7 linked regions of the Solanum lycopersicum genome follow. The protein of the gene in region 5 binds, or shares a complex with, the protein of the main gene of each other region. Links are inferred from orthologs where the notes say so. Each region holds a gene or a part of one and is shown on either strand. Other genes may lie near its edges. The genes, in order: large ribosomal subunit protein cL38; large ribosomal subunit protein uL5c; 50S ribosomal protein L6, chloroplastic; 50S ribosomal protein L27; large ribosomal subunit protein uL10c; large ribosomal subunit protein bL9c; large ribosomal subunit protein bL31c.

What was found.
Region 1: large ribosomal subunit protein uL10c (region 5) and large ribosomal subunit protein cL38 share a complex: the UniProt entries of both Arabidopsis thaliana proteins name them as parts of the 50S ribosomal subunit. The link is inferred for Solanum lycopersicum from reciprocal best matches to the Arabidopsis thaliana genes EMB3136 and PSRP6.
Region 2: large ribosomal subunit protein uL10c (region 5) and large ribosomal subunit protein uL5c share a complex: the UniProt entries of both Arabidopsis thaliana proteins name them as parts of the 50S ribosomal subunit. The link is inferred for Solanum lycopersicum from reciprocal best matches to the Arabidopsis thaliana genes EMB3136 and AT4G01310.
Region 3: large ribosomal subunit protein uL10c (region 5) and 50S ribosomal protein L6, chloroplastic share a complex: the UniProt entries of both Arabidopsis thaliana proteins name them as parts of the 50S ribosomal subunit. The link is inferred for Solanum lycopersicum from reciprocal best matches to the Arabidopsis thaliana genes EMB3136 and emb2394.
Region 4: large ribosomal subunit protein uL10c (region 5) and 50S ribosomal protein L27 share a complex: the UniProt entries of both Arabidopsis thaliana proteins name them as parts of the 50S ribosomal subunit. The link is inferred for Solanum lycopersicum from reciprocal best matches to the Arabidopsis thaliana genes EMB3136 and RPL27.
Region 6: large ribosomal subunit protein uL10c (region 5) and large ribosomal subunit protein bL9c share a complex: the UniProt entries of both Arabidopsis thaliana proteins name them as parts of the 50S ribosomal subunit. The link is inferred for Solanum lycopersicum from reciprocal best matches to the Arabidopsis thaliana genes EMB3136 and RPL9.
Region 7: large ribosomal subunit protein uL10c (region 5) and large ribosomal subunit protein bL31c share a complex: the UniProt entries of both Arabidopsis thaliana proteins name them as parts of the 50S ribosomal subunit. The link is inferred for Solanum lycopersicum from reciprocal best matches to the Arabidopsis thaliana genes EMB3136 and emb2184.

The regions. Positions count from the first base shown.
Region 1 is NC_090803.1:63,903,525-63,905,729, reverse strand, and holds large ribosomal subunit protein cL38, read left to right. Parts: upstream 1-1,284; coding exon 1,285-1,620; downstream 1,621-2,205.
Region 2 is NC_090808.1:1,642,731-1,646,325, forward strand, and holds large ribosomal subunit protein uL5c, read left to right. Parts: upstream 1-1,362; 5' UTR 1,363-1,531; coding exon 1,532-1,783; intron 1,784-2,211; coding exon 2,212-2,757; 3' UTR 2,758-2,957; downstream 2,958-3,595. UniProt on the Arabidopsis thaliana protein: Binds 5S rRNA, forms part of the central protuberance of the 50S subunit.
Region 3 is NC_090811.1:69,213,241-69,215,415, forward strand, and holds the end of 50S ribosomal protein L6, chloroplastic, read left to right. Parts: intron 1-1,064; coding exon 1,065-1,401; 3' UTR 1,402-1,605; downstream 1,606-2,175. UniProt on the Arabidopsis thaliana protein: This protein binds directly to 23S ribosomal RNA and is located at the aminoacyl-tRNA binding site of the peptidyltransferase center.
Region 4 is NC_090810.1:58,850,315-58,854,623, forward strand, and holds 50S ribosomal protein L27, read right to left. Parts: upstream 2,901-4,309; 5' UTR 2,854-2,900; intron 1,615-2,853; 5' UTR 1,608-1,614; coding exon 1,341-1,607; intron 661-1,340; coding exon 559-660; intron 488-558; coding exon 302-487; 3' UTR 79-301; downstream 1-78.
Region 5 is NC_090803.1:3,526,256-3,528,962, reverse strand, and holds large ribosomal subunit protein uL10c, read right to left. Parts: upstream 1,567-2,707; 5' UTR 1,463-1,566; coding exon 773-1,462; 3' UTR 634-772; downstream 1-633. UniProt on the Arabidopsis thaliana protein: This protein binds directly to 23S ribosomal RNA.
Region 6 is NC_090810.1:57,591,394-57,595,479, forward strand, and holds the start of large ribosomal subunit protein bL9c, read right to left. Parts: upstream 2,937-4,086; 5' UTR 2,792-2,936; coding exon 2,654-2,791; intron 2,539-2,653; coding exon 2,411-2,538; intron 868-2,410; coding exon 822-867; intron 686-821; coding exon 588-685; intron 513-587; coding exon 465-512; intron 1-464. UniProt on the Arabidopsis thaliana protein: Binds to the 23S rRNA.
Region 7 is NC_090803.1:66,609,290-66,611,955, forward strand, and holds large ribosomal subunit protein bL31c, read left to right. Parts: upstream 1-1,364; 5' UTR 1,365-1,514; coding exon 1,515-1,583; intron 1,584-1,667; coding exon 1,668-1,988; 3' UTR 1,989-2,154; downstream 2,155-2,666. Other genes in the region: mannan endo-1,4-beta-mannosidase 7-like, read left to right, coding at 1-220. UniProt on the Arabidopsis thaliana protein: Binds the 23S rRNA.

The sequences.
Region 1 (2,205 bases), about 60 Mb from region 5:
CGGCTATAGGATGTTTTGGGCTGATTAGTGCAGATGAAGTTGGTCAATCCATTAATCTTGATGATTCATATAAGTGGGGGAACAATAAAGGTCACGGACTACAAATGGGATAGACTGGCCTATAATATTACTCACAAGGCTAACAGTAGATGCAAAGAGACGTATATGTTTGTTCTTTTATGTGTAAGAATCATACTCAGGTGTATTTTGTATGACCTACTTATTTTCAAGTATCTTTTTCACGGTGTTTGATTGTCATGTAATAATTGATTGAGTCGCCTTCAACATCAAGTGATTGAGTTCACGTTTGATGGATAAAAAACACTATTAATCCTTCTGGAGTGGGGTGATTTTACACATATATATTATAGCAAGGAAAGAGTAATAGGTACACGTGAACTCAAGTTGTGCCTAAATAAGCAACTAATAACAAAAAAGTGTTATTATGGTAATGAAAAAATAAAAGTATCCATTCAAGTGAAGTTTACTTCAATATCATCGAAAAAGGAAGGAAAATGAAACGATTTGACACCAATTGAAGGAACAATTTAACCTTTTAGAAGTAAAGTCATTTCCTCTAAACATGTAACCTACTAATAGTCAACATTCACTTCTCATAGTTATGTCCAAAATACAACTACTATGCTCCATATATTATACAATAACTTTTATATTAAATCATATAATATCAGAGAAAGATTAAAATAATTATGACTAGTTGAAAACATTACCAAACATACAGACACAAGTTGAGGAATTGTGTCCCATGATCTTATAAGATTATTACTCATTTGAACTCAATTAGGCCGTGTACTTTTGACTCTAAATTATATTCACTTATGTACTAAAATTTCATAAACTATTCTTTAATCACAATGACCTTTGGGTCTCTAACTAAGAATTTCTCCGTCTCTGCCCTTTATACACACCGTCCATCGCTCCTATCGATTGTGAAGTTACGTTTAGTTTTCAGACTTAATATATGAACATAAATGGTAAGTTATTATTATACAAAAATATAAACTATACATAAATTAAAGACCAACACTAAATAGAAGCAAAAGTGTAAATGATCCCACAGATTTATTTGGGCCAGACCAATTGTTGTTCTACTACATCCAACACTCAAATAACCCAAAAGGGCTTTAAGGCCCAAATGCCAAACGGTGTCGTAACCTTAGCAGAAACTGAAGTCACCAGAAGATAACGAAGGCAATCCACTTCAAAGGTTCCATTAAACACAGCCAGAAGAAGGAAAAACCTTTGAAGAGAAGAAAAAAGAAAATGTCAGCCTCCGCCATATTCGGGTTGCAGATGGCGGTGTTGCCGCGTTCCTCAACTGTTTCAGCGACCGGATTCACCGGCGGAGCCACCAGGTTGGCGTCGGCACCCACAAGTATCGGGGGATTGGTAATTGAGTGCTCATCTAGGCCACAGAAGAAGGCTACAGCTCACCATAAGAAGACACGTCCACGGAAGACTCAAGCTTGGGATATTCGACGTGGACCAGCTGTTTATGCTCCGTTACCTCCCTTACCATCGGAGTGGTCCTTTGCCAGTGATGAATCGGGTCAACCCGCTGCCGCCGGAGCTTCAGAGTCCGACGCCAAATCTGAGTAATTTTTCTGTAACTTATCATTTCGGCTTTTGTATAATGGTGTTTTCCGTCTGATACTTTGGGGAAATTTGCAACTTGTTCAATTGCAGTTTTGGCGCAATAAGTGATTTGAAATGAATGTTTTACGCTTTACTTTTTAATCTATTCAATGCCACTGGATAATGCCGTAGCTTGTGAGATAATAAACAATATCCTTCGAATATCGGTTCCGTATAATAAAATAGCAAAATTATATATTATGTAAAGCAAATATCAAATGTGATCGGGGAGAGGGGTCTCGTACTAAAAACAATGAATGAGAAAACAGTAGCTATGTTTGTATTTGCATTAAGGCAATATACTCGCTCATTCAACATCGGAATCCTTTGAACTATGTCGCAACAACCATTCCGATCAAAACCAAACTATCCAGTAGATTAGACGAGCCAACAATGTACATTTTATGTTCCTACTGTAAATGGCATATTTACAAAGTATGAAACCCAATTATTTGCCCTCCAGACAACATTTACCAAGGCCTCAAAGCTTTTCTTGAATCTATCAATTATTCAAAGACGGGAAACAAAAAAGACCCCAAGCTCACTTAA
Region 2 (3,595 bases), on a different chromosome or scaffold from region 5:
TTTTCACCTTTATTCAAGGTAAACTCATCCAAAATAAATAAATTATAAACGAAGTTCAAATAATCTAAGTAAATACAAGTATAGAAGAAATGAGCGAAATTAGGCTATAAATGTAAACAAAGACATGCCAGTGAAGAAACTGGCTAAATAATAAAGATTAGGTTTATTTAATGAAATGGGCCACTACGACGTTAAATTTTCAAAAAATTATCCAGCCCACAAACCAATTTAGACTTGGGCCTACCTCATTCCAGTCTAATAGACCCCAATATTTTCTTGGTAAAAATTTTTGTTGGGCCAATAAAATTTGATATAGTAAATTTCATATATAACAAATACAAAATTTATATTTGTATGATATAGCAAAGTTTGTATACTTGCGCTCGGTGACAAATATAAATATGCATAATTCCCTATATACATATACAAAGAAAGCAGTTGTATAATTCACTATACATATACAAAAGAAAGCAGTTGTATACAAAAGATAAATTGTATAATCTGCCATTTGTGTATGTATAAAACGAGAAAAAGAGAAAGACAAAAGAAAACTGAGCAGGAGAATATTTGTTTTGTATAATTACAAGTGTATAGGACGAAGATATATGTATTTACATGTGTATATACAATTTTCTCTCGCTTTATACAAACAGAAATGCAATTTATACATTTCGTTTCTGTTTGAATAAGCGAGAGAGGCGAGGGAGATTCGGGAGAGTGGTGAGTGAGATTTGAGATAGGTGAACAAAACTATATGTATCTATACAATTTTCTCTCACTTTATACAAACGCAAACACATTTTATACAATTGTGTTTGTATAAAAAACGAGAGAGGTGAGTGAGACTGTCACAAAACGAGAGTGGCGAGCGAGATTCCACCAGGGAGAGTGGCGGAAATAGCAATAGTTTGCTATAGGGTACAATTAAATCAAAGTATATTTATAACATTTAATTTAAATTAACAGTTTGCTATTATATACAATTTTCCTGATTTGATACGATCTTCATTCAATAATTTTTAGCCCAAAACTTAAGCTAACATTTAACCATAAATTTCATCATATGTTTGGCTTAATTTTTGGAAACATATTTCACTTTTTTTAAGAAATGTATACTAATAAGTTTTAAAAGTTATCAAAACTAACTATAAGTTTGTATTGCATAACAAAATAGAATAAAAAGATTCACTATCGTAACAATTAGTGTCCATGTCACTGAAGCAATATGGTAATTCAGAGATAGTGCAACAAGCATCATTGCATACATTATGAAGTAGACGAAACATATTGTTCGTCACTTTTATCAATAATCATATCGTCATTTTCTTATTTACTGAATATTACATCATTATTTTGATGTTCACGTAAAAAATTTTACTTGAAAAATCTATGGCGAAATGGATCCGAATTTTTTTTACTTAAACATTCACAAATTAAAATTTAGTAGAGAGAACTCTGTTATATCCACAAAGAACATCTTATCCAATTACCCTTTTATTTTTCACACACAGAGAGAAAAAGCTCAGAGAAAATGGCGGCTTCTCCTCTTCTTCTACACTCCACGGCCTCCTCTTTCTACAATGCTGAGTTTCCGGCGTACTCCGTTCGATTGCCGGTCGGAAATACCAAGGTCCGGTCGTCCAATAAATTGACGGTGAAAGCTTCAGCAACAGTACTAGTGGATAAAAGTGAAGCTGAAAAAGTTAATCGTCTGAAAACAAATTACCTCGAAAAGATTGTGCCGTTGTTGAAGGAAGAATTCAGTTACACCAATATTCTTCAGGTAAACTTAGGAGTCGTTTGTCCATTGCATTTTTTTTCCAGAACAGATAAAAATTAGGGCTTGGGAAAGGGAAAATGGGGGAATTGAACAAATTTTTCAGTTTTTAAAAAAGCTTAGTGCAGGTTCAAACACAAATTCAATTTTCAATTATACTTTTCAAGTTAATTTCAATTTCAAAGCATATGTACTTCTTTAGCTTCAAATTTTACAACTTATATCTACAAATTTGAACTGTTTCTTGTTTGTTTGATTAAATGTTGAATTTTAGAGTTGAAATGCTGAGAAATTAGTTTGTTTGACACTATTATCATTTGAGGAGTGAGAAATCACAGTGAATATTAGTTGCATTGACCTATTGCTTCAAACTCTATTATTATTTTTTAGTTTTAATTTGATTTGATACGGAATGTGGAAAAACCGTGTTTTAGGTTCCGAAGGTCGAAAAGATTGTGGTAAATTGTGGTATAGGAGATGCTGCACAAAATTCCAAGGGTTTGGATGCAGCAATGAATGATTTGGCCTTAATTACAGGGCAAAGGCCTGTGAAGACTAGGGCTAAGAATGCTATTGCTACTTTCAAAATTAGAGAAGGTCAACCGCTTGGAATTGCTGTTACACTTCGAGGGAATGTAATGTATTCGTTCCTTGACCGGTTAATTAATTTGGGGCTTCCTCGAACGAGGGACTTTCAAGGCGTAAACCCCAATAGCTTTGATGGTCATGGAAATTATAGCATTGGCTTTCGTGAACAGAGTGTCTTCCCAGAGTTAAGTTATGATGCTCTTGGTAAGCCAAGAGGGATGGATGTTTGCATAACAACAACAGCTGAGACAGATAAAGAGGCACACAGATTGTTGGCTCTCATGGGTATGCCATTTAGAGAAGGTTCTGGTGGACAGACAACTTTTACGAAAAAGAAAAAGCTTAGAGCTCACCATTTTGACTCGAAGGCGAAGCAAAGGTCTAGGAGATGAGGTGGATCCAATCTCCAGGGATAATGAGTTGATTTGTTGTTTTTTAACTGTTTTGTGGTTTATCAGTTGTTTTTGGCGTACAATTTGAATAGAAAAATCTGTAATTGCACTTTTACCATCTGGCTGGTGATGTCTCGAATATATGTTATTTACGTTTTCTTCCTCTAAAAAAAAAAAAATAAGAATTGTTTTTATCTCTAGTTAAGTTTTTACTATTCATGAATCTTGATTACTGTAATTTGTATGTTATTAAATATTTCCTACCCGCTCCCTTTTCTCGTCTGCCATTTACTTTGATTTCAGGCAAAGAGTTTCTCTTGTTAGCTCCACCATATTCACATTTAGGTGAGTTAACATCTCTGCTTTTATCTTTTATCGTATGTGATAAGGAGTATTTGCGGGCGATATCTTATTTACGTTTTCTAAATTTGTCCTAATGCTTAACACTTGATGTGTGTGAGGCTGTGGAGTCCCATACTTATTTCTACTCCCTGATCCCCCACCTTTCTCCTTTCTTCCTCTAAGGTTTATTTATATTCGCATATTAGAAAGTCACAGTTATTTATAGTATATACCATGTTGCTGAATCTTTATTCCCTTGGCTTCATTTTATTCTGCTCAAATTGTACAGAGTTTTTTCTTTCAAAGTGTGTATGAATGTGCTTTTTAGTGGTTTCAGGTTCTATGTCATTTGATTTGGTTTTAACCTGTTCTTGTAATGCTGCATTCTGATTTTGCTAGATCTCCATACTGGTACTCCAAGATAGATATCTAAGCCTATTCTTTGGTTGTTTGCCGCCCCTTAAAAAAGGAAAAAAGAAACTCAAAAGGGAAGCTG
Region 3 (2,175 bases), on a different chromosome or scaffold from region 5:
GACTACTTTAACTTAGGGAAGATCATAACTAATCAGATAAAAACAAGGGAAACTTCCTTTTGAGACATACTCACAGTAGTGAGGTTGAGTAAAACTCTTAATCTTATTCATGTGTATCTGCTCTTTTGAAATTACGGCAAAATTCTAAAGCACTCTCGAATAACCAGGCAAGCCAGTTGTCTATTATGCATTAGCGCAAAACTGCAATAAACAATAGAAATTGTGGGAGTATAATGTGATGAATAAGAAACTTAGCTTACAACTAGAATTTTTAGTTCGTAAAAGTTATCAACTTTGCCAATTATTCTGTAAGTCAAATCTTAGCATCTGTATTTGGTTCGTAATCCAAAAGATACCAAATGGATCCATTATACTCAAAACCCAGCAAACTATCAAAATATGTTTTCTTTCTTCATTTTATAGATATTCTTTTTGAGATGTGCGTGGGATTGTTGGAAATTTGGAAGTATCTCATAAGGAAGTGTCCCTTGTTTTTATCCACTTATAGTTTATTGTTTTGCCCTTACTTTAAATGGTCAAACTAGCCGTTAACTAGTCGTTGTAGAGTTTTAGGAGCTTTAATAAAGAACTAGTTTAGGTATAATAACCATAAATCATAAGGTTTTTGATGCTAGTTTATACTAGATGAGCTTGTTGAATCCTAGGAGATACGTTTATATGATTGAATATCCTTACAGAAAGTGTCATACACACGCCTTAAGCTAGAAGAATATCCATGATTTCAACAATTAGACGTGATTTTCAACTTGGAATTTTCATTTACACGACTCTCGTCTCTGATGATGATGATCATCAGTTTCACAGAATTTTGTGATAAAGGTATGATTCTGCACCCCAAATGATTTCCTCTCAACTTCAAAAGCCATAATATGTGTCTTACACCAACTCTATCAAACATTCTGCCAATACCTACGGACTGTATATAAAATTTTTCATAATCTTATCACTGTTGTTATGTTGGTCAATTCTAGTGACAATGTATAGATGCACATATTTTGAGTGTTTACTCTGAAGATGTTCTTTTTCTTCATCAAACTCGGCAGGACTCTAACTGATAACATGGTAGTCGGCGTTTCCAAAGGATTCGAGAAGAAACTTCAATTGGTAGGGGTTGGATATCGTGCAACCATCGAAGGGAAAGACATAGTTCTCAATCTCGGATTTTCTCATCCCGTTAGGATGGAAGTTCCTGCTGGACTGCAAGTTAAGGTTGAAGAAAACACCAGAATCACTGTAAGTGGTTACGATAAGTCAGAGATCGGTCAATTTGCAGCTTCAATTAGAAAATGGAGACCTCCAGAGCCATACAAAGGTAAAGGAGTGAAATATGCTGATGAAATAGTTAGAAGGAAAGAAGGTAAAGCAGGCAAGAAGAAGTAAATCATGGTACATTTTGTCATTGTTTTATTGTATTTTTCTTAGAGCTATTTTGAAGTTAGGTTCATTTTGCAAGTGACTTGACAAATTTTTTATCTTGTGGATCCCTTTAAATATAAGAGTCACACAATTTGAATATTGTATGTAATCTGGTTTCCCTTACATTTCTTTTAAAGCTGTTCTGAAAAAATTAAACGATTTTCTTGAGCTGAGGGTCTATCACATTAAAAAACAAAGTATGTCGTTGTGTTCATGGAGGTGGTTGCATTCAATAAAATATTTACAAATTCATGAAAAATGAACATAGTTTTAGCAAGAACGCAATCGTTTTCTAAATCGATAAATTATAATTGAACATTTATCTTTCAATAAATTAAATTGTAACCTTTTCCTTTAATATTGAAAATACGTTGTATAAATTCCACACATGAATAAGTAACAATACAAATTTAATCTCAAATATAATTCTTTTGATAACAATACTCGAAACAACGGAACTTAATACAAATGAATGTGAATGTATTCAAACATTTAGTCTAAATAATTGACTATTTTGATAAATAATTGATAATAATTACTCTCCAAAAATATATATTTTAAATGTATTTTTGACCATTTATTTTAATTTCAAACACTTTCAATGAACCAAACTATATATGAGAAAGCAGTAATTATAGTCAAAGCAGGGAAATATACATTTAATGCACATGATCATTTGATTCAAAGGTATTTAGAATGCATCATTACACAATTCAACATAGCATTAAAAATAATTAA
Region 4 (4,309 bases), on a different chromosome or scaffold from region 5:
TCTCTGAAATTGGATTATTTTAGTTGTGATTTTACCAACTGAACACTTAAACCGAATGAAAACTCAAAACTCTTTTGGTTGTGCTATTGTGCAAAGCTGCATCTTCTGAATCATACATTTCATTCTGTACTCATACAAACTGTGACAAAGACTCATGCTTTCAGTAACACAATTTACAAACAAAAAAAGACAACAATGGCAGAAACACAGTTTAGAAAATGTGCCTGCAAATGTGTTCCCAAGTAGCTACTAGCAATAACCAAAACGACAACAGAATGTTTGAAAAATCGAAAGACCATTATCAGCAAGTGGTGATGGGATTATCTTCAGAGGATTCAGCAGCAGAAGCAACTATCAACTGAGGCTCAGGGATGACACCTTCTCTTCGTGCCTTTCTACGTTCACGTTGTAATCTGAAGGACTCTCTCTTTCGGTTTCTATAGCTGTTGGGGTTTTCAGGTTGCACCTCGCGTGGATAAACACTTATCTGCACAGTCAGTATACGTTAATAACACTCGTGTACCACATATCTACAAGCAGTAAGCTAAAGAACTCAACCTTTTTCCTGTCAGGTCCAAACTTTTCAAATTTGACTAGTCCATCAATCAAAGAAAATATTGTGTGATCTTTGCCAAGTCCAACATTCTTTCCTGGGTGGAACTGGAAATATCACCACGAGAACGATTAGGGAACAGAATATATGGCAATGCTAAACGGAGAATGCAACTTTTGAACTACTCTTAGAGCAAACAAACAGACGATAACAGGATCATATCAGAGCCGAAAAAAAGTAAAACTAATACCAACCTCTGGCATAAACCCTTTTACTATCTAACTGATAGAAGACGACATCTACTCATAGCATCATACTGTCAGAAACTGACACTTTCGGCAAAGAAAAAAAACTCAAGTCGGATTATAACAAATGTGCATTTCTTAAAGAGAACTTCCAACTATGTCTTCACGACACGAGCTCAAAACCTTAAACCTTATAGCAATCTGTTACTTCAAATGACAAGATATGTATCCCTCTAGTACCTTGTTTTGTACTCAATCTAACGCCCTCTAGACAATCCACATATTTCTAACAAATAATATACAAACCAAACGAAGAAAGCCAGACGAATGGAGCAGAGTTATTGACAAGATGCCAGGACCTAGTATGTTTGTGAGGTATTGAGCAAAAAAACTGGAATTACACTCTACTTGGGTGGGTTCATCCGAATTCATTTCAAGCACTATTAATTAATCAAAAGAACTATCAGAACTTCCACAGCAAATACGAGTTTTAGGCAAAAATAAAAAAGAGAGAGGAGATCCAGAAGAAGTAAAATTGAAACCTTTGTACCGCGCTGGCGAACGATTATAGAACCGGGCTTGGCGACTTGGTCACCATAAATCTTGACACCAAGCCTCTGTCCAGGAGAATCTCGACCATTCTTAGTGCTACCAGCTCCTTTCTTGTGTGCAGACTCAATTGTCAATGGAGATTTCAACGGGAAGGAAACGGAGAACTTAGGGGCAATGGGAAGAGAAACCCCAAGGAGAGAATTGGAAGATAAGGAGAGTCCTTTGAATGAGGAAACAAGACTCAAACTCACTGCCATTTATACGCTGCAAAGAAAACAAAGAAATTCAGTAGCCTCTCGTGGTACTTACTATCAGAGATGAGAGGCCTAAAGGAAAGGAAGTGATATTTAACAATGGGAAAAATATGAGCATAGAACTACTAAGAGGACAAAACTATTACCATAACAACTACCAAGGATCTTAATCGCCAATCTAAAATTTCCCCGGATCATCGCGAACACAAATTGGAGAAATATATTTTTGATAGTAAGTCTACAGAAGGTTTGACTCTGACTTTAACACTGCTCGGTATGACTAAAACAGTAGAAGAGTGATAAAAATGGTCCTAAACATATTTCCTAAGAAAAAAAGTTTTCCATCAAAAGGGGGAAATAACTACTCTCACTTATGAGATAAGTCATTTCCTTTTACTACGATTTCAGCTCTTTCTCCTTATCGCTCGCTCCAACCACTGTTTAGATAATATTGTCATTTCTTAATACTCAGCTTTATCAAAATATAAAACCAATTTGCTGAGCTTATTATCAATCTTCAAAAAAAATACAAAACACACACTCCTAACAATAGAAGTACCTTAAGTCCTCATTACAACTATCTTTACTCCATTATATATCTCTTGCATTTCAATACACATTACTTCCACTCATTGTTTTTCTTTTCAAAATTACACCAAACATCAACCCCCCTCCACCACAAACGCATTTCGCAAACTCTACACCACAAAATATTCCGCAAATAAGTCCTTACGCAAGCAATTGGTCATAAAAGAACCATATTTAATCATAAAGGACAAGTCTTTAAACCACAAAACAAAGAGGAATCAAAGGAAACCAGTATCAACAACAAAATAAACACTAGTATGTTCATCAAGATTGCAGTCCACCTAAAATATTAGTAGCGGTCAATAAAGTAGATTGATAACCATAACGTCTCAAGTTCAAATCCTAGTGAAGCATAAATACTAACCCCCTCCATTTCAATTTCCAATAGCAACTCTTCAATTCTAACTTTTCACATTAAACAACATTTTGATACATTCGACATAACATTAGTTTTACTTCAACCCCACTTGATTAAAAAAAAATCTTTACTTTCTTATATTATTTGCCAAAGTCGAACCACACAAACAAATTGAAATGGAGAGAATAGTAAACCAAGATTTGCGAGTCAGCTAAAATTAAATACATTTTCGAACACCCAATTAAACATAGTACAAGAAAAAAACATTGAATTTACAGAAGAGGGGAAAAGAGATGAACTCACCGAGGGGATTATGGAGCCACAATGGCAAAATCTTCGAGATAAAAAGATAAGAGAAATGTCAGCCATCCTTTTTATAATATACTTGACCCGTTTTGAATTGGGCTTTTTTTAGCTTGTTTTCGGGTTAAGTTTAATGGTTTCGTTTATCGAACATAAGTTATGGACATAAATTAATTTTGCTTATAAATATTGAAGTTGTAAATATTTTTATCGAACTTGTAAAGGGGAATAATATGATTTTAATTAGTAAAATAAAATGTTTTTTCAGATATCTTTTCTTCGAAACTAAAATCCAAGTGATTGTTTTTATATTTTTGAAAACGTTTTTTAATCTCAAATTGATATTCTGCGAAAAGTATTTTCAAAAAATGAAATCATATTTAAAAATTTTTAATTTAATTTTTATCGAGAAAATTTCATACTCCTACTTACGGGCATATATAATATGATTTTTCGATAAAAAGTATAAGAATAATTTTTTTTTGCATACCTCCATACAAGTACGGTTAAGAATGTCAAAATGAGCCTAAATATATATAACTCGTCTAACTCATTTAAAATTTTATAGGCGGGAGCTCTAGATATTTTGAATTGGATCAATCTCAACTTATTTACGTTTTAGCCCATTTTAAAATAATTTTTAATTGTGTCCAATGTAATCTCTAATTTCAACATGTTTTAAGAGTATTTTTTGTATTGGTGTAATTTATGTTCTCATATTGAATGCATAAATTAGAATCTATTTTATATTTTTTATGATTTATATATCAATTTTATAACTGTTTTTATTGAATTAAAATTCAAATAATAGTTATTAAAGGAAAATAACAATATGTTTAAATTATTGAGATTAAACATGTCAAATCGCACAGGTCATGATCCAATCCAATGTTTATCCTATTTGAGCCTAACATAATTTGAAGAGGTTATGATTCGACTTAAATTTTATTTGAACTCATTTTAATATTTTAAATTTTAATTCAACCCGATTATTTAACACGCCGACCTACAATAATGCCACATTATTCTTGAAAATTGCTCATATTATGCTTCTTGAACTAGTTAGTGGAATTGATTGCTCGAGTCAAAAGTTGTGTTGGTAAATTAAAGGATTTAAAAGAAGAATATTTAAAGTAAAATAGATTGTTTAATTTATTTACTTTTATAGGACAAGAACAAGTGGAGAATATAAATGCCATGAACCTAATTCTTTCAAAGAATAAATATATTTATTGGTTAAAAAATAATATTAGGTGAACATTTTAAATATATCTAAATTTCAATATATAAAATTAATACAATAAAATAATTAAATCCAACATCATGCTATATAATCTATATGTGCAAATACATCAATGGTTTTAACATGTAATAGTAAAATACCGATAAAGATTGTGATGGAAAATTAAAATAATTCAGAATTTCACCATTTTTAGTTAGAGATTGCAAATACAAT
Region 5 (2,707 bases):
AAAAGTTGCTGCCCAATTCACCAAGAGGTCATGGTTTAAGCACAGAAACAACCTTTTGCAGAAATGCAAACTAAAGTAGCTAACAATAGATGCAACGTGGTCCGGCATTTCCCAACAACAACAACACACCCAGAGAAATCCCAAAAAGTGGAGTCTGGGGAAGGTAGAGTGTACGCAAACCCTACCTCTACCTAGTGGAGGTACAAAGGTTGTTTCCAAAAGACCCTCAGTTCAAGTGAAGTAAATGAAAGTACTAACAAAAAGGGAAAACGACAATAAGGAAAACATGAGAACTAGTAATAGGAAAGCACTGCAGAGGATACATGCAAGAAACAATAACGTCAACAATATAGTGCGATCAACATATAACAATAGCAAGAAACTGCAAGAATAAAGCTACACACTTCCTCCAGACTACTACCAAAGCCCAAACTCAGCAAATAGCAAGATCTTAGTGCACCGAGCTGCCCTTTTAATATTTGACAAATATAGTGAGCTGAAGCAGGAATACAGACTATTTTCTTGGTTCAGTGATAATGGAAAGAGCAGAATAGTACATTTCACATAACATAAATCCTCTCAAACAGTTATGAAGTAATCCAGATAATTATCCGCCAAATACGAGGACACAAATTTAGAACAATTGGCCAAGGATAAATTCATTCTACCAAAAACATAAAATTTACAAAATTCCATCTCTCAGAAAAATTTCAAATATTGATCCAAATAGACAATAGTATTAGCTTACCATATCCAAGAATTACAACAAAAATTATTGACTTCCACCTTCTTCCTCCTCCAATTTCTTTACATAAGCCTTAAGAACCATAACCAAATTCCTTGCTGGAGCTTGAATAGTCCCAACAACAGCTGAAGCAGGTCCTTTCAAAGACCCAAGAAGCTGTGAATAAATCTCAGCTCTTGTAGGCAAATTCTCAAGCACCTTAAACTCATCAGGCCCATAAAACTTCCCTTCAAAAACCCCACCAGTAAAATCATTATCTTCCAATTTCTTCTCCCTTAGAAAAGTCCTATAAGGTTTCAAAGCAGCTGGGATTTCTTCACTATGAACAAATAACCAAGCATTCATTCCCTTCATACATGGTTTCAATGCTTCCCATTTTGTCCCTTCAATTGCTTTAAGTACCAATGTGTTCTTAGCAACAAGAAGCTTTGTTGTTTCTGGGAGTTGAGCCCTAAGATCTTGAAATTGCTTAACTGTTAACCCCTTGTAACTGATTCCAGCTAAGAGATAACAATCTTCAAGCTGTTGCTTCACTGTTTCGACTGTTTCTTCTTTCTTGGTTCTGCTAATGGCTGAACGAATAGTTAGAGTTCTGGGTTTGAGTTTGAGGTGAGAACTGGAATGGGGGATTATGAAGGGATTGTTGAAGTGGGATTTCACGGAAAATGGGTAAGAGTGAGAGGAAGAGGAAGGTAAGCTGAAGAGAGCAGCCTCCATTGATGATAGCTTGAGAATTGGATTGCCTTATCTTTTGTGCTAAGATAGAATTTAGGGGTATTTCATAAACTTTATGTTTTTGAAAATATTTATGTCATACCAAACAAACCATTAAAGAAGTTAAAAAAGGCAAAATAGGTGTAATATTTACATATATTTTATCGTCTTTAATTTATAAAATTATGTTAGATATATTTTTATTATTATTATTAACAAAATTCTTGAGATGATTTGATATGATATATAAAAGATAATAATTTCATAAAATGTAAAATTATTTTATCTTATATTTAAAGATATTAATTATGATTCGATCAGTTATTTTAAATATATATTATCATTATTTTCAGATGCTTTATTAATTTTTTTTTAAAAAAATAATATAATAATCATATCAATTTTTCTTCTATATTAAAATATTTTATTAATTTTGTTTGAATTTCATAGTAGAGTCGCATTAAGTATAATCAATGCAAATATTATATGATGTATTTGGCATTAAGGTGTATATAAGATATGGAATTATGTGGATATTAGTAAAAAAAAATATTCATGCATTAGCATAATAAAATCACTATTGCTCTTCAAAACTCTTTTAACATCATTTTACTATATTTGTGAAAGATACTTATATAAATAAAGAATTTTGTTCAAAATTGATGTAATACAGATTATTTTCTTTACGTCAAATCAAATATTAAATATAAAATAATACTCCTATCAAATATAACTCATACAAATATTAATAATAATTAAATTATTTACTACTAAAATTCACCATATTCAATATTATTCCTTCTACACCTCGTCAATCCTTTTTCAAGTATGTATATCTGTATCTACAAGTTTATCAATTAAAAATGCTGGCTTAAAATAAATTTAAAGAGTCAAGAATATTCAAAAATTATTTCTGAATGTAATCAAAATCACAAGTGATATTTTTGTTATTTTCTCTGCTCAGGTCCTAGACTTTGCTTCAATTATATTATATTATATTATTTTAATAAATATAATATTTGAATAGATTGTATCTGTATAGTAAAGACAGAGCGTGAGGTGAAATCTTTTACATAGTATATGGTGAGGCGTATGTCCTGAGACACAAGACGTAAGTCTCATAGTTTTAAGGGGCATAATCACATGTATATTCAATTTTTAGTTTAATTATTAATAAAATAAGCAAAAGTAAATCTTTCAATGATTTATGATTTTTATTTGAGATAAGTATTAATAATCGGTAATGAA
Region 6 (4,086 bases), on a different chromosome or scaffold from region 5:
TTTTTCATCCCCACCCACCCCTCACTTTTCTTCCTATTAAAAGTAGATAACAGATTTTCAATCCTTTCTACTCTTTCTTTTTTCGGGGACAGAGGGGTAGTAGAAAGCTACTATGTGATCAAGAAACAGACATCACATTGCTTCAAAAAAACAGTTTTTGCTCTAGCAATAGACGGAAAATGGAATCAGTATACTCCACTGTTCTCGATGACTGATGTTAACGAGTAAGTAACATCGCACAGAAGGAATCACACAAGAAAATAAGCACTGCATGAAAAATATTTGAATTACTTAATAAACCAGATGAATCAGAGAACATCAGTTTTCAAGTTCATGCAAATTCATATTACAGGATCAACCTTATGAAGGACAATATACTTTAACAGTCTTCAATGAACATATAGTAGTAATTAGTTCGCATACTACTATTTACATGCTATGGCAGAAAGATTGGAAAATGGTACCTCTGTATCTGTGCTTTTATAATATCAACGAGATCCTGAGCAGTGACACTGCAAGAGAGATGACGTCAAAAGGTAGATCAAATATTCACCAAGTTGCTCATCACAATTTAGTATTTCACTGACCTTCCAAATATTTGCTTTCCTTTCCCACCCTTACGCTTCACCTTGAAGGCTCCAATAGTTTCAAAAATTCGAGCAAGCTGTTGTGCCTCATCTTTCACCTGAAATCAAAAACGTTTAACTAAAACCACATTCATTATGAAACTCTTTTAGACTTTTAGTGACTTGAAAATAAAAAAAAAATGTATATATTTTTCAACTTTCAATAGATTAGATTAATCAGAATAATCTAATTACCCGTTGTTTTTCAGCCTCAATTTTCTCGTCTTCCATCTTCATTTCCCTGAGTAAAAAGTACATAATGTTATAAAATAAAAATGCATCCATGAAGTTAGTTAATTCTCACTGATGGCGAAGCACGCTAATAGCTATCAAAAATATCAAACCAAAATTGCTTCTAACAACCATCTCTAACGAAGCCTTCACCTATTTGTTTTGTTCTTTAGTATGAAATAGCAAATCCCTTATATATAAGACTTTTACAGGACTATCACACCATTAATGTTAACAGCTGGTTAGGCCTATTGCTCACCCAAAAGCTAAAGACAAAGTCACTAAGTAGTAGGAAATCTAAAGTTTTATATCCAACCATTATCCATCTTATGCATTGTGGGACATTGTATTGAAGACGAATCCGTTATCAATAAATTATATTTGGTTAAAAGAAGCGAATTTACTTAAACCTATAATCATTAATCATACGAAGCACTATTTCAGGGAACAAAAGCCATACAGAGTTTGTGTACTGACCAAGAGTTATAACACCAAAGCCATACAGAGTTTCTGCTCAAGGAGTATCGAAAATGATTATTCTGGTACGACCTTTGCACGAAGATATGTATAATCCATGGGTCCGTCCACTTTTCAGCTAGTTACAATTAGTTTAAAGGATCCCATAGACTAAGTATACCTATTTTATCTCCATTCGACATAGGTCCATTGGTTTAGATAAAAGATAAAACAAAACAAGCAATAGTAATAACATACTTCCACTCATCAACAGCCAAGCAAAGTATTGTGTGTGGCATTTTAAATAGTTGAACCAAAGAATCCTGACATTAATTATGAGGCATGAAAATAAGATAACGAACAGAAGAACCAAAGTCTTGAGTTCAATAATAAGGTTAAGTCGATAATTTAACTAGTCATAATGCAGAAACAGACACTTGAACTCGGCATCAACTAGCAAGAAAACACTCAAACTCGGCATCAACTAGCAAGAAAACACTCCAACTTTGAGTATGCACATCTACACCTCAACTCATCTCCACTGTGTCAGTTGAACACTCCAACTTACAAAATGATCATCTAGGCACCAACCAAATATATTTGCCACATCAACATCAGGTGTCCATGACACACTGTGGATTATGCCGTTAAACTATACAGGGTGATTGGAAATGTGAATATTCAACACTTAAAATCAACTAACAGTCTCCAAAAGGAATACTTAAAAATCCATCCAACACAAGCAGAACCAATTTTAACAAACATTAAGGGGGTGTTTTGTAGCTAGTAAAAAAGCAACTTACTCATATATTAACTTAATGTATAAGTAATACAATGTTTGGCAGTTAGTTAGAGAATAAGTTATTCATGTATAAAATCAACACAAAGTTTAATTTGTAATTCAAAAACCTACCTAACTAATATATAATGTATTATCTTATGCAGGTTACAAGACGAAATAACTGATACCTGCGTAACTCTACCAAGCTACCAAACAACCGCGAACTCCACAAAAGTACAGCTAATGAAAGAAGAACCTAAAAGGCAATGAAATCAAATGGCAAAAATCTAGTTCAAAGTAGAGTTAAACGAGTTACTTGATAAGTGCAGCTGTCACAATTTGAGCTTTGCCCAATGGTAGCAAATAATTCCTAAAGAATCCAGCTTTAACATCCAAAAGGTCTCCCTTTTTACCCAACTGTGAAATATCCTCTTTCAGTATTATCTGTTCCATCAAAACAAAAAATACCCAATTCAGCTATTAACCATAAATGGACAAAAAATGAGATTTTGACAATTATAAATCCAACCCATTATCACATTTTCAAGAATTAGCTCACCTTTCGAACTTTCTTGGCTTTTTTCTGAGCAACAATTGTTAAAATTGAAGTTCTTTCTGAAAATTTCACTGTTTCGGAAAATGGGTTTTTGGTTAAGCTGTAATTTTGGAGACAAGAAGATGAACCCCATGACGCCATAGCTAAGTCTTCCTTCTTCTTTTCTTCACTTTTTGCTCCGTTTTTCTGTATTTTTTACAGTTTATAGCGTTATCTTATCTGTAATGGCGAACTGAAGAAGATAATGGATGTCTTAATGGGCCAACAAAACTTATTGGGACAATTCATGTAAAGCCCATTTCTTAGTCCAATTATAATATTTTAGGCTATTTGGGCGAAGGACAGAAATCACATACTTTTAAGGCAAAATTACCATTTGTTTTTTACAAGTATATAATTACAAAAATTTCTCAAATGATACAATAATATATTATTGTATCATTTGATACATTAATCTGATGTGTGAGATACATTAATCATTAAGTACGATACATTACATTTATACATAATACACTAATCTGATGTACACTTTATACAAGATACATTAATCTGATGCGCGATATACATTAATCTGATGCGTGATATATATTAATTTGATGTGCGAGATACATTAATTTGATGTGCTGATACGTTAATTTGATGTGTGAAAATGAGGGATTTTGGAGATTTGTAAAACTAATAGGGGATAATAATAGTAAGAGAACTTAAAAGTGAGATTTCTATCATTTACCCTTACTGAAATACACGTCTTATATTTTCCTTATTTTCATATATCCCCTTTTATTTCTAAAGACCTCTAAAATCCATTATTTCTTTAATGTATCCGAGCTACATATTAATGTATCCGAGCTAGTATTTAATGTATCCGAGTTACATATTATGTATGCGATTTATTTTATAATGTACCCGATCTAGTTTTTAATGTATCTGAACTACATATTATGCATCCGATTTATGCTATAATGCATCTAAGATACTCTTTAATGTATTCGAGTTACATATAAATGTATCCGATTTGTGTTACTTTTTAAGGGATTAATGAAATTACAAACTAAAGAGGGATGAATTATAATTTCATATTAAAATTATGTGATTTCTAAAATTTATCCAAAAAAAACAGCCCAACATAATACTCCATCCGTCTCAATTCATGTGGTGTTGCTTGACTAAGTAGTGGACATTGGACACGAAGTTTAAAAAATATGAAAATACTTTGTATATCTCAAAACTATCCTTAGAAAGAACACAACTTTGTAGACGTTTTGTCGAATAAGTGGGATCCAGTCATCTACAAAATATTGACAGTGTCATTAACTATTTATCAAATAAAGAAATGTATCGTTCTTTTAGAATTGACTAAAAAAAAGTTTGTCATCTAAATCCGGAGGGAGAGTATTTTACATTCACTTAGCCATATTTTTTTCATCAAAGTCATA
Region 7 (2,666 bases), about 63 Mb from region 5:
AGCTAAAGGCGGCGGCGCGGCGGCAGGAGGGTTGTTTTGGCATGTTTTGGCTGAAGGAATGGATTCATTTAAAGATGGATATGAGATTATATTGAGTGAAAGTTCATCTGTTTCTGATATTATTATTCAGCAATCTAAAAGGCTTAATAAGATTAGAAAAATGTATGCAAGGTTGAAGAATATAGAGAAGTGGAAGAAAGCAAGGAAATTAAAGGATTAATCATGAGAATTAGAGAGATTTAATTTATGTTAGAGATGAATTAATTTAAGTTAGCAAGAAGTTAGATAATGTTTTTTTTTTTTTTTTTTTGGTAATGTACTGCTCGACATGTTGTATGTCAGAGGAAGTATTCTAGTAGTGATTTATTATGCCTTAAAAAAAACATCGATTGTATCGATGTATCTAGTGTAATTTCATATGATTTTATTTTATGAAATTGAAGAGTTTATTTTTGATAAATTAAGATATTTCAAAGCATATTAAAAAAGAAATATAATAGTAAAGAAATTATTTTTTTTTAAAAAAAAAGATTAATGAATCAATACAACGTGTGGGATAACAAAAATTGAAAGTAGGACAAGATAAATAACTTGGATTTGCTTATGGCGGTAAGCACAACATCACTTCTGTTTATTCAAACACTTTATTCTTATCAAAGATTATAATCGAACTAAGTTATTATCAATCATGCCTGGTTGAATTAATCTTTCAATAATATGTAAAAAAAAAAACAAAAAACTATTTGGTAAACTCTAGATACAAAGGAAAAAGGAGGATATTTGATTTATAAATTGGCCAATTTGTGTTACACGTCTCGGAGAGGAGAGACCGATAGTATTAAATTCAATGGTCAAGAAGTCGTAATTGACACTCTATACATGGTGGGTGATATGAGTATAAATATAAATAATCTACAGATAATATTTTATTAGCATTATTTCTCCAGATGGTTAAGACTTGGAACTTTTAAGTTAGAGGTCTTAAGTTCAAAATCACTTGCCAGCGAAAGTAAATTCTGGGTTGAGCTCATCGCACCGAATTTGCCTAATGCAGATTATTTCTCCTATGTGATTTGCGAACTAACGTATAGGAGCGGGAGTTTTACCATGTGCCCACCCAAAAACAGCGATTACTTAAAAATAAAATAATAAAAATACTTTTGAGATTAGTCAAACCTTTTTTCTACTAGGGTAAATGATATTTTTACAACAAACAAGTTTTTCTTAAAAAAATATGCAATACTTATGCAAGAAATCAAATTAGTAATAACGAATCAATAACTAATCCCAAACAACCCTAACGAGTTTAATCCATTTTTGAAAGAGTATTTACATAAATGGGCCTTACCTACTCCTTGGGCTTCAAGTAATAGCCCAAAAGTAACATCATACAAAACTAGCCCAAGTAGAGCCCAATCAAATATACAGCCCAATATCCTCAGATAAGCAATCTAATCTTCAACCCGTTCCTCTTTTTCTCCATCTCTCATTCTTCTTCTGCAAAAATACCAACAATGGCGCTCACTCTCTCCAACACTTTCCTTCAAAAAAATGTCGCTCCTCCTTCATTCTCCTCCAAGAAGGTAACTCCCCAAAATCTCCATACCCATAACTTTTTTTTTTTTTTTTTAAAAAGTATATGATTGTTGAAAAATTGAATTTTGCAGATGGGAATTGGGAGCAATCAAATGCGATGGAGCTGCAGGAAGAAGGATATACATCCGCAATTCTACGATGACGCTAAGGTATATTGTAATGGAGAGCATGTGATGACAACTGGGGGAACAAAGAATGAGTACACAGTTGATGTTTGGTCAGGTAATCATCCTTTTTATCAAGGTAGTCGTTCACAGCTACTTCTTGATGCTGACCAGGTAGAGAAATTCAGGAAGAAGTTTAGTGGGTTAACACAGATTATGCAAATTCCAACTCTCAAAGGAGAGATTGTGCTTCCTCCTAAGAAGAAGAAACCTACTAAGAAGAAGTAGACTTTATTGTGTGTTTGTAATTCCCTTAGTTCGTTTCGTAAATGGGGAAATTGTTGGAGAATTAGGGGTTTTGTGTATTTTGTGTTTGTATTTTGATGGTTTCAGTTGTGAACTCAGTCTATTATTTGAAAATGGAAGTATAAAAATTCAGTCTTTGTTCTTCAAATTTTTGGATTTGCTGTTGTTGTTATATGGTTCATCAATTAGTTGGGCTGGTAGAGCATTTAAGTTGAATCCAGTGAATTGTCTTGCTTTCGATTGCCATTATTGCTTCGACTATTGGAATGTAATGAGCCTAATAGAGCTGAATGGATACAAAAAAATTGTGTTAACTTAAAACAGTTTGGATCAGGTGTAGTTCATTGATCATAGTTTACGTTCAATAGTTTCAAATGAGTTGTCTTTCACCCCTTTACCTGATAAACTGAACGAAACTTGTCCGTTTTGCACTATCTTGGTGTAATGTTATACCTGTGATTGGAAAGGCTGATTGTTTCAGGGTTTCAGCCGTCCCTTGAATCCTTGACAAAGTAAAGATGAAATAAAGTCTGTTATAGATTTGGTGTCTTGTCTTTTGTATGGTTGCATTAGCCAAGCGTTCTAATGTTAGTTGTACTGGTGCTGTGGTGCACTTCCATTCTTGCAGTTTACTGTGTAAAATGCTTTTTGAGAGTTGTC